Linked DNA regions of Caenorhabditis elegans. The protein of the gene in region 1 purifies or fractionates together with the protein of each later gene. This does not show direct contact. Each region holds a gene or a part of one and is shown on either strand. Other genes may lie near its edges.

The links.
Region 2: the proteins of Y53C12A.10 (region 1) and pak-2 fractionate together in Caenorhabditis elegans (co-fractionation; one large-scale study listed by BioGRID). This does not show direct contact.

The regions. Positions count from the first base shown.
Region 1 is NC_003280.10:9,700,656-9,706,602, forward strand, and holds Y53C12A.10 (tRNA-uridine aminocarboxypropyltransferase 1), read right to left. Parts: upstream 4,192-5,947; 5' UTR 4,126-4,191; coding exon 3,675-4,125; intron 3,623-3,674; coding exon 3,366-3,622; 3' UTR 3,157-3,365; downstream 1-3,156. Other genes in the region: Y53C12A.7 (HEAT repeat-containing protein), read left to right, coding at 1-70, 439-558, 604-753; mop-25.2 (MO25-like protein 2), read right to left, coding at 1,303-1,473, 1,687-1,889, 1,934-2,169, 2,216-2,313, 2,687-2,908, 2,958-3,044; Y53C12A.3 (Protein YIPF), read right to left, coding at 4,390-4,460, 4,511-4,634, 4,684-4,806, 4,853-4,994, 5,063-5,196, 5,242-5,337, 5,461-5,583.
Region 2 is NC_003283.11:11,034,729-11,042,906, reverse strand, and holds pak-2 (Serine/threonine-protein kinase pak-2), read left to right. Parts: upstream 1-3,483; 5' UTR 3,484-3,505; coding exon 3,506-3,631; intron 3,632-3,754; coding exon 3,755-3,879; intron 3,880-3,920; coding exon 3,921-4,308; intron 4,309-4,665; coding exon 4,666-5,072; intron 5,073-5,116; coding exon 5,117-5,420; intron 5,421-5,934; coding exon 5,935-6,153; 3' UTR 6,154-6,445; downstream 6,446-8,178. Other genes in the region: C45B11.2 (uncharacterized protein), read right to left, coding at 71-90; C45B11.5 (uncharacterized protein), read right to left, coding at 606-638, 683-834, 885-972, 1,015-1,083; C45B11.8 (uncharacterized protein), read right to left, coding at 1,536-1,562, 1,610-1,819, 1,991-2,077; C45B11.9 (Ac108), read right to left, coding at 2,272-2,403, 2,468-2,554. UniProt on the Caenorhabditis elegans protein: Serine/threonine-protein kinase which plays a redundant role with pak-1 in embryogenesis but, in contrast to pak-1, is not involved in commissural axon guidance of ventral cord motoneurons or in distal tip cell (DTC) migration.

The DNA of each region.
Region 1 (5,947 bases):
TCACAAAAAATCGAAACCAAGTGGGAAAAAGAAGGAGAAAAACGAACAAATCGTTGCAAAAGCTGATAAAGTAAGTTTTGCTACTTTTCGCAGAAAGATGGTCTTTGCACGAGTCAAACTTTTCAATCTACCGTACCGTTCTCGTCTTATTATAGAGACGCATAAAAATGCGTTTATTGAATCGCGCTCCACGGCCAGTTGGACACACTCCGCCCCCAAATGTTGGGTCTCGTGAGGTATTCACGGCAAATCCGTACATTCAAACTTTTTCAATTATTTTTTCCTGATTTCACCCGTCTTCAAGCAAAACGTTTGAATTCAGTTTTGCCGCCGTACCTAACGAGACCCAACGCCTGAGGGCGGAGCGTTTCTATTTGGCATTGGAGCGCGATTTCAAAAAGCGAATTTTTCAATTTTTGCAAATGTGTCAATTTTCAGCCGACTTCTGTTCAAAATCCAGCAAGAACACTCGTTCAGATTCAGGAAATTCTTGCGGAAAATTCAAATAATGATGATCTGAGCAAGTCGATGGATTTATTGATTCCCGTGATGCTTGGGGTAAATTTTAAAATAAATTTTGTATTTAAGTCAACTTTCTTGAAGATGTTATTCTGCTCTCCCCATCCCAAAGTCCGTGACCAGGCGATTGAGTGCCTCCGAACTATAGATCAAAAAATGGGAAAATCAATTATCGAAAAGCATGTGAAGAGGATGTCGAATGAGAAGAGAACTGTTATAGCGTCTTTGATTTGAAAATTTTCATGCTAAAAAATCGATGTTTCTGACATTTGAAGTCATAAAAATAGAATCAAGAAATCGTTTGAAATATCATAAAACAAAAAAAAAAGACAATGATCATGGATAGAGCGAGAAAATCAAATTCTTTGATGAAGAAGGAAATAAACCTTAACTTAACATGTGAAAAACCGTAAAATAAGAGGGAAAACAGACGGAAAGGGGATGGATATTTTTGTATTCGTACATGATTTTAATATGGGGGATTCTTTTAAAGGAACGATTATATTTTGTTTGCAGAGAAAGACGGTAAAGATCGATGCCTAAAGCGAGGTGTGGATGGAACAAAATTTTTGGCGATTGGAGGGCGGGGAGGTACTACTGTATCTTAATATTATAGCTACAGTAACCCCCGAAAATTTCACAAATGATAATTGTGGTTTTTTTTTGAATATTGATAAGGATAAGGATGCACTACACAAAGCCACTCACAAAGAAATAAAACATTGGAATAAAAACATATGGATTGTGAGAATTAAATAAAATATTTTTTGTCACATTCCGTAATCAGACACGAAGTTCTTGTATCTGCTTGATGAGATACGCCTTTTCGTCATTGAATTGCTCGTCGTTAGTTCGATCATTGTGAAATGCAGTGAGAAATTCTACGAGTTTATCACGATTTCTTGTCAAAATATCAGTGATTGGACGTGGCTTGTTTGGATTCGCGACGAAGATCTGAAATTATGGGGTTTTATAGATTTTTTTTGGAAATTTTCTTAAATTTCTTGGAATAAAACGTAAAGATGTAAAATTAATAAACTTATTCTTCTTAAAATTCAATTTAAGACTTTTTTTCATCTTCAACCATTTTTCAAGATGTTTGATTCACATACAATAACTTGTTTTATTTTCAATCCAAATATTTATCTGAAATATCAAAAGAAATACCTTAAAAACGTGGAAAGCCTCGTACTGGATATTCCGTCTCTTGTCTCTCAACAATTCCATCACTGTTTTCAGATTCTCTGGACTTGTGATATATTTGTTCATTGTGCTGAAATTATGTCGATCGAGGAGAAGCTCGCCGAGCAGTTTCAGCGATTGGCGTCGGGTCACGTAGTTTTCTGAGTTTGTGAGCGCCGAGTATTGGCCTGTAATAACATAATTTTTTATTTAATATATCAAAAGTTCTCACCGAAAAATCGATCGTAATTATTATCCAAATACTCTGCACACATATTCTTATGTTTTGTCATCAAATCTTTGAATGTAGAAAATGCATCAGTGGCGATATCGAAAACGTCAGATTGAACAAAAACGAAGAACCGTTGGAAATATTCAGAATAGAGAACAATTCGAGCAAGATGCTCATGGCGGACAGCTTCACGGAGCATCGAACCGCATGTCAGGGCAATATCTGGTTGCTCGTATCTAGAGAATTTTTTTTTTTTGGATAACTTTTAGACTTTGAACTAACCCAAGAAGAAGAGTGATGAGAATTTCTGGTCTTGCAGCCAAGTATTCCACAGTTGGTGATCTTGTTCCAATTTGACGACGGAGCAAATTATTGAACACCTAAAATTATCATTTATTCATTTAAAAAATATAAAATTTTCAGAGCTTGATATCAACCAGACGCCAATATACGGTACTCGGTCTCGACATGACGAATTCAATTGTTTTTAATGCAGAGGGGTGTGTGCCTTTAAGGAGTACTGTATTTTCAAACTTTTGTTGCTGCGAAATTTTCATATCTAGTTTTTATCACGAATTTGAGTGTTTTTAATTTTTTTAAAAATAATTATAAGTATATTTTCATCGAAACTTGTTAAATTTTTACATTTCGCAAAAACGTATCGTGCCAAGACCGCGTACCGTATTTTTGGTGCGAAAGTTGCAACATTTCGTGACTGCGTTATATAATTTTTGATTTTTAGAATCCACATACCGATGCCACATCCTTCTTACATTCGAATTCAAATTTGTGCAAATGTTTAATGAGCATCGGGAGCACATTTGCGTTATAAACTTCCTGAGCCAACTGGGTCACTTGCTCATTGTTCGGCTCGTTTGCGTCTGATCCGTAAATGAACGTTTTTGCCAATGCCAACATTTTCGCTGTTTCTTCGATAGCTTTTTCGACTTTCCGCTCACTTGTGTTGGTTCCATGCTGGAAAATTTAAAATAAATAAAAATGATATTTAAAAAAAGAATCTCACTCGATCAATAACCAGCAATGCATCCCGCAGATTCTTCACCACGTCGGCGGGTGTTTTGTCCGCTTTTCCGAACAACGGCTTCAACATAACTGGAATTCTCTTTGAAAAAATCAATAATCTGAAAGACTCGTCAAAAGTATGTTCGATTGTTTTTAAAACAAGTGGATTAAACGATTAAAAATAGAAAAATACGACGGAAGGGAAACATTTTCTTTTTTATTCTTTCACATGTGTGGAAAAATTTGGGAAACCGGTCATGCAAATCGAGGAAAATCGCAGAGGAGAAAGAATTGAGTGTAAAGTAACAAACAACAACTGAGATTTCTAACAAGTCAAAATTCAAATATTCAACAATGAAAAAACAAAAACTGAAAAATTTTTTAAATAAATTTAGAAAAGCATTTAATATTATTTTTCTTCGCTTCTCTCTTCATCTTTCCGCCTCAAATAATCAGCCTGTTTCCCATCGACAAAATGTTTTGTATGGAAAAACCAATAAAGAAGATCATCGAATTCTCCACTATATTTCCGTCCGAGACCCAATTCTTGATATTCTCTAAGCGAATAATAAATTGCTTCGATCGTGGCGAGACCCGTTTCGGGAACGTTGTGTTGAGGCCGCCAGAATGCAGTACGGTATGATTGAAGAGATACGTGTTGGAGTCCTTAAAAATCTGATTATTATTATTACGATTTAAGATTTTAATTAGTATATACCTTGAATTTGAGGTGTCTTCTGCATAACACCAACTTGAAACCACGTGCAATCTAATACAACAATTCGTTTGATCGGTCCTCTTGTTTTTACAAATTCCTCAACAGAAATTGCAGATTTACTCGGAAAAATGATTGCAGTTCCTTGCCGTTCATCTTCAGAATCTTGTGAATAATCATGAACATTTGGATAATCAAAGACTCGAGTTTGATCAGGAGCCACAATTTTACAGTGAAGAGCACTGCTTTTACTATTTTTCTCCATTGGATGCTTGACGATGTCGACGGCACAGGGAAGCTTTACAGTTGGCGTAAAAACTCCGGGCATAGGAGTTCGACAATCATAACAGAAATATTTTCGATTTGATTTGCATCCTGGACACGTAGATTTCACACAATTTTCAATGGGATCGAAGCTCGAGAGTTGGACCTGATGCTCGCTGATAACTGACATGGGAACTCTGTAAATAATGTCTTGAAAATCTGAAAACTTAAAATATAATTAATATAGAACAAGGCTCTCAACCTTTCAGATTAGCAAAAAAAACAGTTTAATACATGTTCGGAGAAGATTTTAATAAATAAGGACTAAAAAACAATAAATAATACAACCATAGAATCAAGAAATATAAAATCATTAAATATCCCGTGTTAAATGAGCGAAAATCATCACAATTTGTATACATCTCGTTGGCTAAAAATAAAAAAATAACTATAATTATGCGACTGGAAGTGTTTCTTTGATAGCATTCACATCCACGATGGCATCTCCAACCATTTCGTCGAGTTCTGAATTTTTACATTTTTAAGACACAAATTTCTAATAGAAATATTATTACCTTCTAATACTACGTGGAAACCGAAATGGAGATAGATGATCAGCAATAAGTGAGCTGCAATTGCGATTCCAATAAGTAAAAGTCGATTCGCGGGAAGACGAGACTGATTGCACACTATTAGGCCCTGAATTTCAAAATTTTTATTTATTTTTTCAGTTTTATTTTAAGCTAACCATTCTTAACGCTGAAGGTACACAGAAACTGGCGAGGAGCACGAAGAAGAATAAATGATCATGAGATGAGTGAAAAAGCGAGGTTAACAGAAGTACGAGGCATTGTGAAGTTAGAGAATAGCCCTGAAAACAATTATTCTTGGTGTTCTATTTATTTTTTTTAACTTACAAAGCTCGACAATATCGTTAAAAATGGTTGCTCAGCAGCTAACAAAAAGCACGCAATCCAAAGTGCTCCAGAAATGAGCATCCAGCTACCAAAGCATGTGAACATTGCCGTACCCATTAACGTTCCATTTTGAATTACAATTCTGAAATCATTTTTATTTTATTTGAAATTTTGATTTTTTACTAAAAACAGATAAAAATAAACACGAACCCGCTGGTTTTCATGTTATACAGCAATAGCGCCACCATGGTGAGTACGAGCATAGTCGGGCCATATAAATCCGGTGAAACTTGTATTTGCGATGGTTTTCGTGGGATAAATGACCGAATAAGACGAGTTCGGACCTATAAATACATGTTTAAAGCTTAATTGTGAATTTTTCTTCAAACCTCTGCTGGATCGACATCGAAATAAGGGCGAAACAAATCGATACGACCATAAGATTGAAATGTGTCTTGAACCTGTTTTGATCCAGCTTCCCACATCTGAATTTTTGAAAATCAAAAATGCTTTAATGCAATCAAGGTTCTTTTCAAGAAACCGAAACTTTTTTGAATTATTTTTTTTCGTTTTATATTCTAAATTAAATTAATTTTAAAAAAACAAACCATCTTTCCCAATTGCGCTTGCATTCCAAATTGTGGATTCTGTTCATCGGGGCTTCCTCCAGCATTACTGTTCGATCGTTGTCGAGTATTTTCCGTTTCCTGGCCGTAATACGTTGGTTCCATCACTGGAATATATTTCAATAATTTCAATTTAAAGTCTGCTATTAATAAAAATTAAAAATCAGATAAAAATATATAAAAATAAACATTTTCACAGCAAAAAAATGATTGAGAAATCAATTCAGTGACGACAACTTGCTGGTGTGCAACCATGCTCCATTGGACAGACGTTAATGGCGCCTCGTTCAAATTTTATATTTTATGGCTTGTTTATTGCCAATTTCATGAAAGCTGAATTTAATAGAAAATTAATAAGAAACATTCATTAAAATCGGTATTTTCGGGTAAAAAAGTAAAAAGCACACTGAAATTAAAGCTTTGATGAAGAGAAAAATATTAAAAACCACCGGAAAACATTCTTTTCGAG
Region 2 (8,178 bases), on another chromosome or scaffold:
TTACGAAGAAGGAAATCACATCAAAATTTGAAAATCTATAAAATTTGTAAGCACCAAAAAATCAACTCACCAAAAGTATTCATCTTCCATTGAAATAGAAAAGCTCGCTGTTTTTTTTTTGAAAATGTTCCGTATTTTTATTCGTTTATTGTGAAGTATTTCGCAATTTCTAAATCAATGAGTAACTAACATTTTGATGATGTTTGTTTCTAGTTCTGGAAAACTTTATCAGTGAATGATTGCTGCCATGCATTTGAACTAGAACAGTTGACGTTGAATATTTAAACTACATATTTCAAGACCTAATTCCTAATAGGAACAAGCATTTTCCACAGTCTCGTTTAATTTCATTTCTCATTTTCAAATATCATATTCTAGTAAAAACTAGTTTAAGAAGGTTCATCTATGATGAGAAAAATATCGGTATCTCCTTTTATGAGTCAATGCGATAATATTGACATTACGCGCATCGGATCAAAATATAGAAAGAGAGAAGGATACGGTTTATTATCAGAACAAATAAGAAAAAGACACACATATGGACAAAAACCCAGGAAAAAACAGAGAAAGCTCTCTGCATCGTTCACTTTTCTTATCATATCATCTTATTCTTTCCAAATAATGAAGCTTTTTCCAATCTGGAATTGGATTTTTAATAAGATTATCATTTACAATCACTTACCGATTTGAAATAATTGTTTCTATTCCTTTTTCTTCTCTCTTTATTTTCTATATCAATATCACAAAATCCAGCAGGTTTTCTTTTTGAATTTATTGGAACGCTATCATCATCTGGTTTAAATTCATTTTCAAAATGATACACGCTGGATTCTTCTAAAAAGAAAACGTTAAGAATAGCTCTTCCAACAATATAATATAATTACCTTGCATTTTTCGAATTGCATAGATGCACCATGCTCCACACAAAAGAAAAATTCCAATCGTGATAAATGTAACGACCAGGCAGAATAACTAAACATAAATATATTTGTAGGTTGCAACAAATTAACTTACTAATTGATCATTTTGATATCTTGAAATTAAAACTTCAACATTATCGAACACTTCAGTAGTATTATTCATTGTCAAAGAGTGAAAATTAAAATTTGAAATGAATTAAAATTGTTATTATCTTTTTTTTGAGAAAAATTACGTGGAGAATTTGATTTTTTTTGAAAAATTTCATGTAAAAATGTAAAAGTTTGTTTTTTGTTATTTCCGCAAGTTTTGGCAGAACATGTTCAAAAAAAATTTGATGTCACTGAAACTTTTCCACATAAATTTACAAAATGACCGGGAAGTGATATTTCCGAATCCACTGATTTTACATCTAGATTTTAAACAATAATGAGGAGACCCTGCCTGTTCGTGAGCTCTAGGCTCGTTCCAAACTTCCCAATTTAAATTTTAAATTTTCAAAGAACTGGACGATATCAGGGATTGTAACGCATGTTTATTTTTGAATTGGTGACATAATACAACAAAAGAACTAGAGATTCATTTTCATTGTAACTTCTGTTGTTGAATTATTTTCTCTAGATGAAGATCACACTCTTGCGAATCTAAAATCAGAATAACATTATTTTTTAACCTAATTGACTTCTCTTACATCAGTCAAGTATTTGACAAATCCTCCCACTTCTTTCACTTCTTCATTTTCAACTTCAACAACTGAAAAATCAGAACCAGCAATTGATCTTGAATTGTCATCGATCACAACTGTTTCATCATCTTTCACATTTCTTGCAGCCAGCAGACACCAGAGTCCACACAGAATTGCAAAGAAAACACCAAAAATAGTGAGTAAAATCATTGTCCACTGTAAATTTTTAAAGGTTTTTTGCATCTAGAATTGAATTCTCGCAAAACTTATATATATATATATATAAGCTTATATCCTTATATCAGTATATCCTTATATCCTTATATCAGCTTATATCAGCTTATATCGTATAGGCCTCCAGGGTATATTTAGCTTTATTCCACTTACAGTATTATAGTCATATTCTTGTATGAGCTTAATGTGAACATTGTTGAGAATAACAGTAGCTGCAGTAGAGGTGACATTAGGCGACATTGTCGAAATTTGAGTCACGGAGATAATATTGCAATTGCCTGATAGATGTTTCGAAATAAACTTTAATTTCTGTTTTTTTTTTCTAAACTAACTTATTAGAGAATAGTTCAAGGGTGTTACGGAAATATTCTTGATTTGATGTTGAACACATTTTGGGAATTTTAAATTATATTTTATTATTGTAGTTATCATTCTTATACAGCTTCAGATTTTGATTCGGAGACACTTTTGTCGTCTTCTTTCAGACGATAGGATGCACACAAGCACCAGAAACCACAGGCAATCAACAAAATAACGACCAGATTTATGAATAGCATATCCAGAAACTGCAAAATTTCAAATTTTCAGGACAGGAAAGTTATAACTATATCATAACGTTAAGTGACTTACTTGAAAATCATAGTATTCATTTTTTATTCTAAAAATGGCATTATTCAACGTTTCATTAGCAGCTGTAGAAGTGTCGTTAGAAGACATTTTCGTTTGGTTGATTGTTTAAACTTCAGAAATGAAAATTTCAATTAACATTTCCAAGCAGAGCTTGACGTAAATAAATATTTGAAGTATTTAGAAAATCTCATAGACACTTTTTATTTTATCGTAATAACACTAAATTTTTACATGTCTTCTTGAAGGCGCACGGATTATTACAGATGGGTCTTGGCGCGCAAAAAGTTTATGGTAGTTTTATTTAATTTCAGAGAATGCTTCACTATTTATTCGCCTTGCATTTTTCAATGAAAGTACTTCGTTTTTAGCAAATTTTGTAGGTTTTTTATTGATTTTCTGTTAAAATTGTTCTAAATCTGTCTTCTACAGTCTTGAAATCATAAACATTTTTTATTTAACTACCATAATTTTTTGCGCCTTTCAGTTGACATTTCAAAATCTAGTGAAATTACGATATATCCTGCGAAAATGGTCTTCGTCTCTTCGTCACTGACCATGATGCACCATCTCTTGAGTTTTCACTGCGTTTCCACTCTCTTAGACGTATCAATAGAGCGACAATGCATTGAGACCCTTCTAATTTTTTGAACAGTTTTTATCGCCGGACTTGTGTTTTGCAAATAAAAACAGAAACGAAGGCTGTTTTACAAATTCAATTAGATGAATTTTCAGACTTTGATTATATTTTAATTCGCCTTTGTTCATTTTCTGTAAATTTCACCACAATTTCGTGTCTACGGAATTAATTTTCGTCAGATCGCGTGTTGCCTCCTTTCAATTATTGTCTCTGTTCGACCACCAGATGTCTTTTTAATTCGATCGTTTGCGCTGTAGCATTGTTCCTTCGTTTTGTGTGTTTTTCACACTTCAATCGATTTTCAATAACCTTCAAAATTATCGTTCCTATTGATTTTTCTCTCTTCTAAATTGCAATAAGGTTATTTTCCAATTTTCAGAATTAGTTATGCCGAGAAGAAGATGAATCGAACGTTTTCCTTGCGCCGAAAAGTCAAAAAGTCGGAAATTTCAACGCCGAGCAATTTCGAACATCGAATACACGCTGGATTCGATGCAAGATCAGGAACTTATACTGGACTGCCAAAAGTACGTTTTTCTCAACTATTTTTTTCTTTAACTTGAAAAAAACTGCATGAAAAAATGTATGAAATTCGTTTTCCGATTTAGTGATTCAAAAAACTTCAGAAAAGTTCACTAAACACTTTTCAGCAATGGCAAGCTCTTCTTGGACCTCCTCGATCAATATCAAGACCGAAGCCAATGGTCGATCCATCTTGCATTACACCGGTAGACGTCGCTGAACTGAAAACTGTAATTCGAGGACCATCTTCAAGGTAACAATTGTTTCTGACAATTTTTTGTAATTTATTTTCAGTTTCAGATACAATTCACCACTCCCCTTTGGTATGACAAACTCTCCAATGCCAAGTGTCGCTAGAAGCAATAGTCTTCGAATATCAGCAACAGCTTCACCTGTTGTTAATGTTTCATCTGCAAGACATTCATTCCGTCCAACGCTTCCACCAGTCAGTCAAAGAGGATATCCATTTAATGATCCAAGTTATGCTCCGTTACCTCTACGCAATCAGAAACCACCAATGTCAACAACATTCGGAGTAGAGAAGCCACATCAGTATCAACAAATAATAACTATTGTTGCACCATCAAGAACAACGACTCCTCAATTACAACCCAAATCTCCTTCAACGCCACAAGCCATGCGTCAACAGCCGAAATGCACTGAAGGTGTCAGCGATGAAGAGGTATGCATTTTCTAATGGGGTTATTCAAGTAATATAGCAAAATGTATTTAAATACATTTGTGACGTCACAAATGTATTTAAATACATGTTTTTGTATACTTGAATACAGTTGTGACGTAATTTTTCTACAATTTTTAATTTTCCGACACTACTTGAATAACCCCATAAAAAAAAACATTTTTTGACAAACGTTTGAGACAATGTTTCACTAAAACTATTGTTTTGACTTTTAAAAAACTAAATTCTATAGAGACTTTCTTCTCAAAAGATAAATGTATCATTTCTAACAATACGAATAAAAACTGCGGAAAATATAAGACAAATATTTTTTCTTGTCAAAAAACAATCATATTTCAGTTTCGAAATGCGCTGAAATTCGTAGTTGACGGCACGGATCCTCGTTCGGATCTCACAGATTACAAACAAATCGGAGAAGGATCAACAGGAGTAGTCGAAGCTGCATACAAGATATCAACAAAACAAATAGTCGCTGTGAAAAGAATGAATCTCCGGAAACAACAACGCCGAGAACTTTTATTCAATGAAGTATCAATACTTCGGCAGTATCAACATCCCAATATTGTTCGATTCTTCTCTTCTCATCTTGTTGATGATGAACTTTGGGTTGTGATGGAGTTCATGGAAGGTGGATCCTTGACAGATATTGTGACTGCAACTCGTATGACTGAGCCACAAATTGCTACCATTTCAAGGCAGGTTCTTGGTGCTCTAGACTTTCTACACGCAAGAAAAGTAATACACAGGTTGGTTTTATTCTTGAAATCACCTTAATAAATGTTATATTCAGAGACATAAAAAGCGACTCAATTCTACTGAAGCGAGACGGAACTGTGAAACTGACGGATTTCGGTTTCTGTGGTCAACTATCTGAAGAAGTTCCTCGTCGTCGTTCGCTTGTTGGTACGCCTTACTGGACAGCTGCAGAAGTTATTGCTCGTGAACCATATGACACTCGTGCTGATATTTGGTCTTTTGGAATAATGCTCATCGAGATGGTAGAAGGAGAACCGCCGTTTTTCAATGATCAGCCGTTTCAAGCAATGAAAAGGATACGAGATGAACATGAAGCAAGATTTAGTAGGCATGCCAAGGTAGGTAGAATAGGATAACGTTAAAAATTCAAGCAGATAAAGAAGAATTAAATGAAAATTTTATTTTAGTATACTCGAAATAGTCCCATATGTTTTAGTACCACAATACAAACGAAGAGAAAATCAAAAAAGATTTTTAAATTAATTGAAAAAATGGTCAACTCTCGAAAACGCAATTTTCAACTTTTGAATAGAATTTCCTCCAAAATCAGAACTACAACCAATCAATGAACTGTCCACTTTTGAGCCAATCAGATGATTTGTGCGAGTGGGTGTGGCTTCTCATTTTGGAGGAAATTCAAACATGAAAGTTAGCGAGATTTGAAAATTCGCGATTTTCAAATTTCAAAATTGTGCGATTGTCATACTTTTGCTATGTGGTATTCGAGAATATGTAGAATTATAGAGTAAAATCCACGTTGACCGTACTCCACCTTTAATTCAATTTTTTCAAAAACTACTAAGTTCTTTCAAAACGCAGTTTATTTGAAATATCTAAAATTATATTTTCCAGGTATCTGTGGAACTCTCTGAATTGCTTTCACATTGCATTGTCAAAGATGTTAATAAACGGTGGCCAGCTAAAGATTTACTTCGTCATCCATTTTTTGCAAAAGCTCAGCATTCTTCATCAATTGCTCCTCTCCTTCTACAGTTACAGGGTAACACGATTAATGGAAATAATCCACCAACTCATCATCACTCATCTCAAATAACTACAGTAATTCAATGATGTTTTTTTTCTCATTTACACCATCTCAACATGCATCATTTCACATTCAGATCAGTATTACCCCTTTCCTTGATTGATTTCACCTTGCTATTATTGTATGTATGTATTGCTTGTATGATGATGATAACTCATTAGAGAGACACCACACTGCCTTTTATGCAACATTTTTCATGTACTTCACCCCTAGAAGAATGTTTCTTTTACGGGTTCATTTTCTCGGTTTCTTCTCCTCTCACAAATTAACATCATTTTAATATTCTTTTTTTTTGTTTTAATAAATCAAAATACAAATATTGGACACGCGTCCGAACAAGAAGAACTCTCAACGAACTTTTGGTTTCGTTTTCTCTTTCATCACTAAAAACAAAGAATCCTGACGCGGCTGCTCTTCTCATCTCGTGTCATCTCGGGAGCCCGTGAAATTTACCAATGTCATCTCGCCTCTCCGGTGGCCTGCCGGCGGCAACTCCGCTTCTCATCTTTTTGTGGATCCGTACTCGTTGCCGCCGCGGTGCTCCGGCACTCCTCATCACAATTATCAGCTCGTCTCAATCAGTATCCCGTGGTCCGTTTGTCTTTCATTCCGGTGCTCTCGTCGTTTTTCGGCATCTCTTGCTCACTTTTTATATCAATTTTATAGCCTCAGGCATTTTTATTTTACTCATTTTCATTGAAAATGGCTTCAAATTGAGAGCAGCAATAAAACAAGGTCAATGCTCTGAAAGTACAATTAGTTCAAACTTCAAATTAATTTCAACTTCAAATAACTTATTTCCCATTTTTCCGAAGCTGTTTTCCGGGCGAGAGATGGGTGAGTTGAAACCCCCATAGAATCCCTATCTACGACAATCAAAACATAGGTCACGTTTATCACGGGCTCCTCGTTTTCAACTATCGTAATTTCGCGAAATTTAGACTTATCAGTTTAAAGGCGCACGCTGTTTTTCCGAGAGGGTCCCGCCATCACCTGAGTTATAGTTATAGCTACAGGTATCAAATTTTAAAGATTTGTTCATTTGATGTAGCACAGGAAGTTTTAAAAATTCCAACTATGAGAAAACCAGAATTTTCATTAAACATTTAGAACGTACTGTCACGTTACCGCCGAAAGACGATATAGGTATTTTTATGGTTCACCTTAAAACTAACTTCCATATAAAACCGACTCCTCGAAATTTTTCTACAAAACTCTGAACAGTACTCACAATTAATTAAAACAAATCTTTTTAAATTTGTAAGATTTCAATTTCAAATGATTTATGTTAGACTCGAACTGTTTTACCTTCACCCAGTTACATCCCTATTAGATACTTAAAATGGTGCACATGCCGCTTATAAACATTTGTGAAATTTTAGATGTGCCTTGTTAATTTTCCCTCGCGTCTTTTCATTTAGAACCTATGCGTTCTGCTCAATTGTTTGTTGTTCAATTTTTTCATAGTATTGTTTGTGGAGTGGCAATAAGTTTGCATCTCTCACATGATTGTTTTTTATCCTCTTATTGTCAAACTTCATGTCAAATGACCCAATTGATATATTCTAGCACTTTAGTTCAATTGATGATTATATCAGTTGACTTGATTTATTAATATCAAATACACCTCTTCTAATAGATAATTTAAATTGGTATTCACTGTAGCTTCATATAACTAAAGCATCGTTGTCATTTACTTTTGACAACTAGTTGATTAGTGAGTGAACATTATCTTTTTTACTGGAGGTATGACATCTTTCATCATCATCTTCTCGTCTCTTTAAAACTCATTGACACTCTCAATTGCTCACTTCGGCCACTTGTCAGTTTCAAATCAAATCAAATTGTTGCAGGAGGATCTGGAGAGAGATAGAGATCAAGACACATCAGAACAAGAAGAAAAAGAGCCAGACGACACAAGATTGGGTAGAAAGCCCAAAGAGCACAAAAAGTGGTCATTGTAGGTGTACTTCCTTTGCTCATTTTCATTCATGTTCGCTGGTGCTTCTTCAACGCTTAGTTTGCGGAACCGGGTGAGTAGTTTTCTTTTG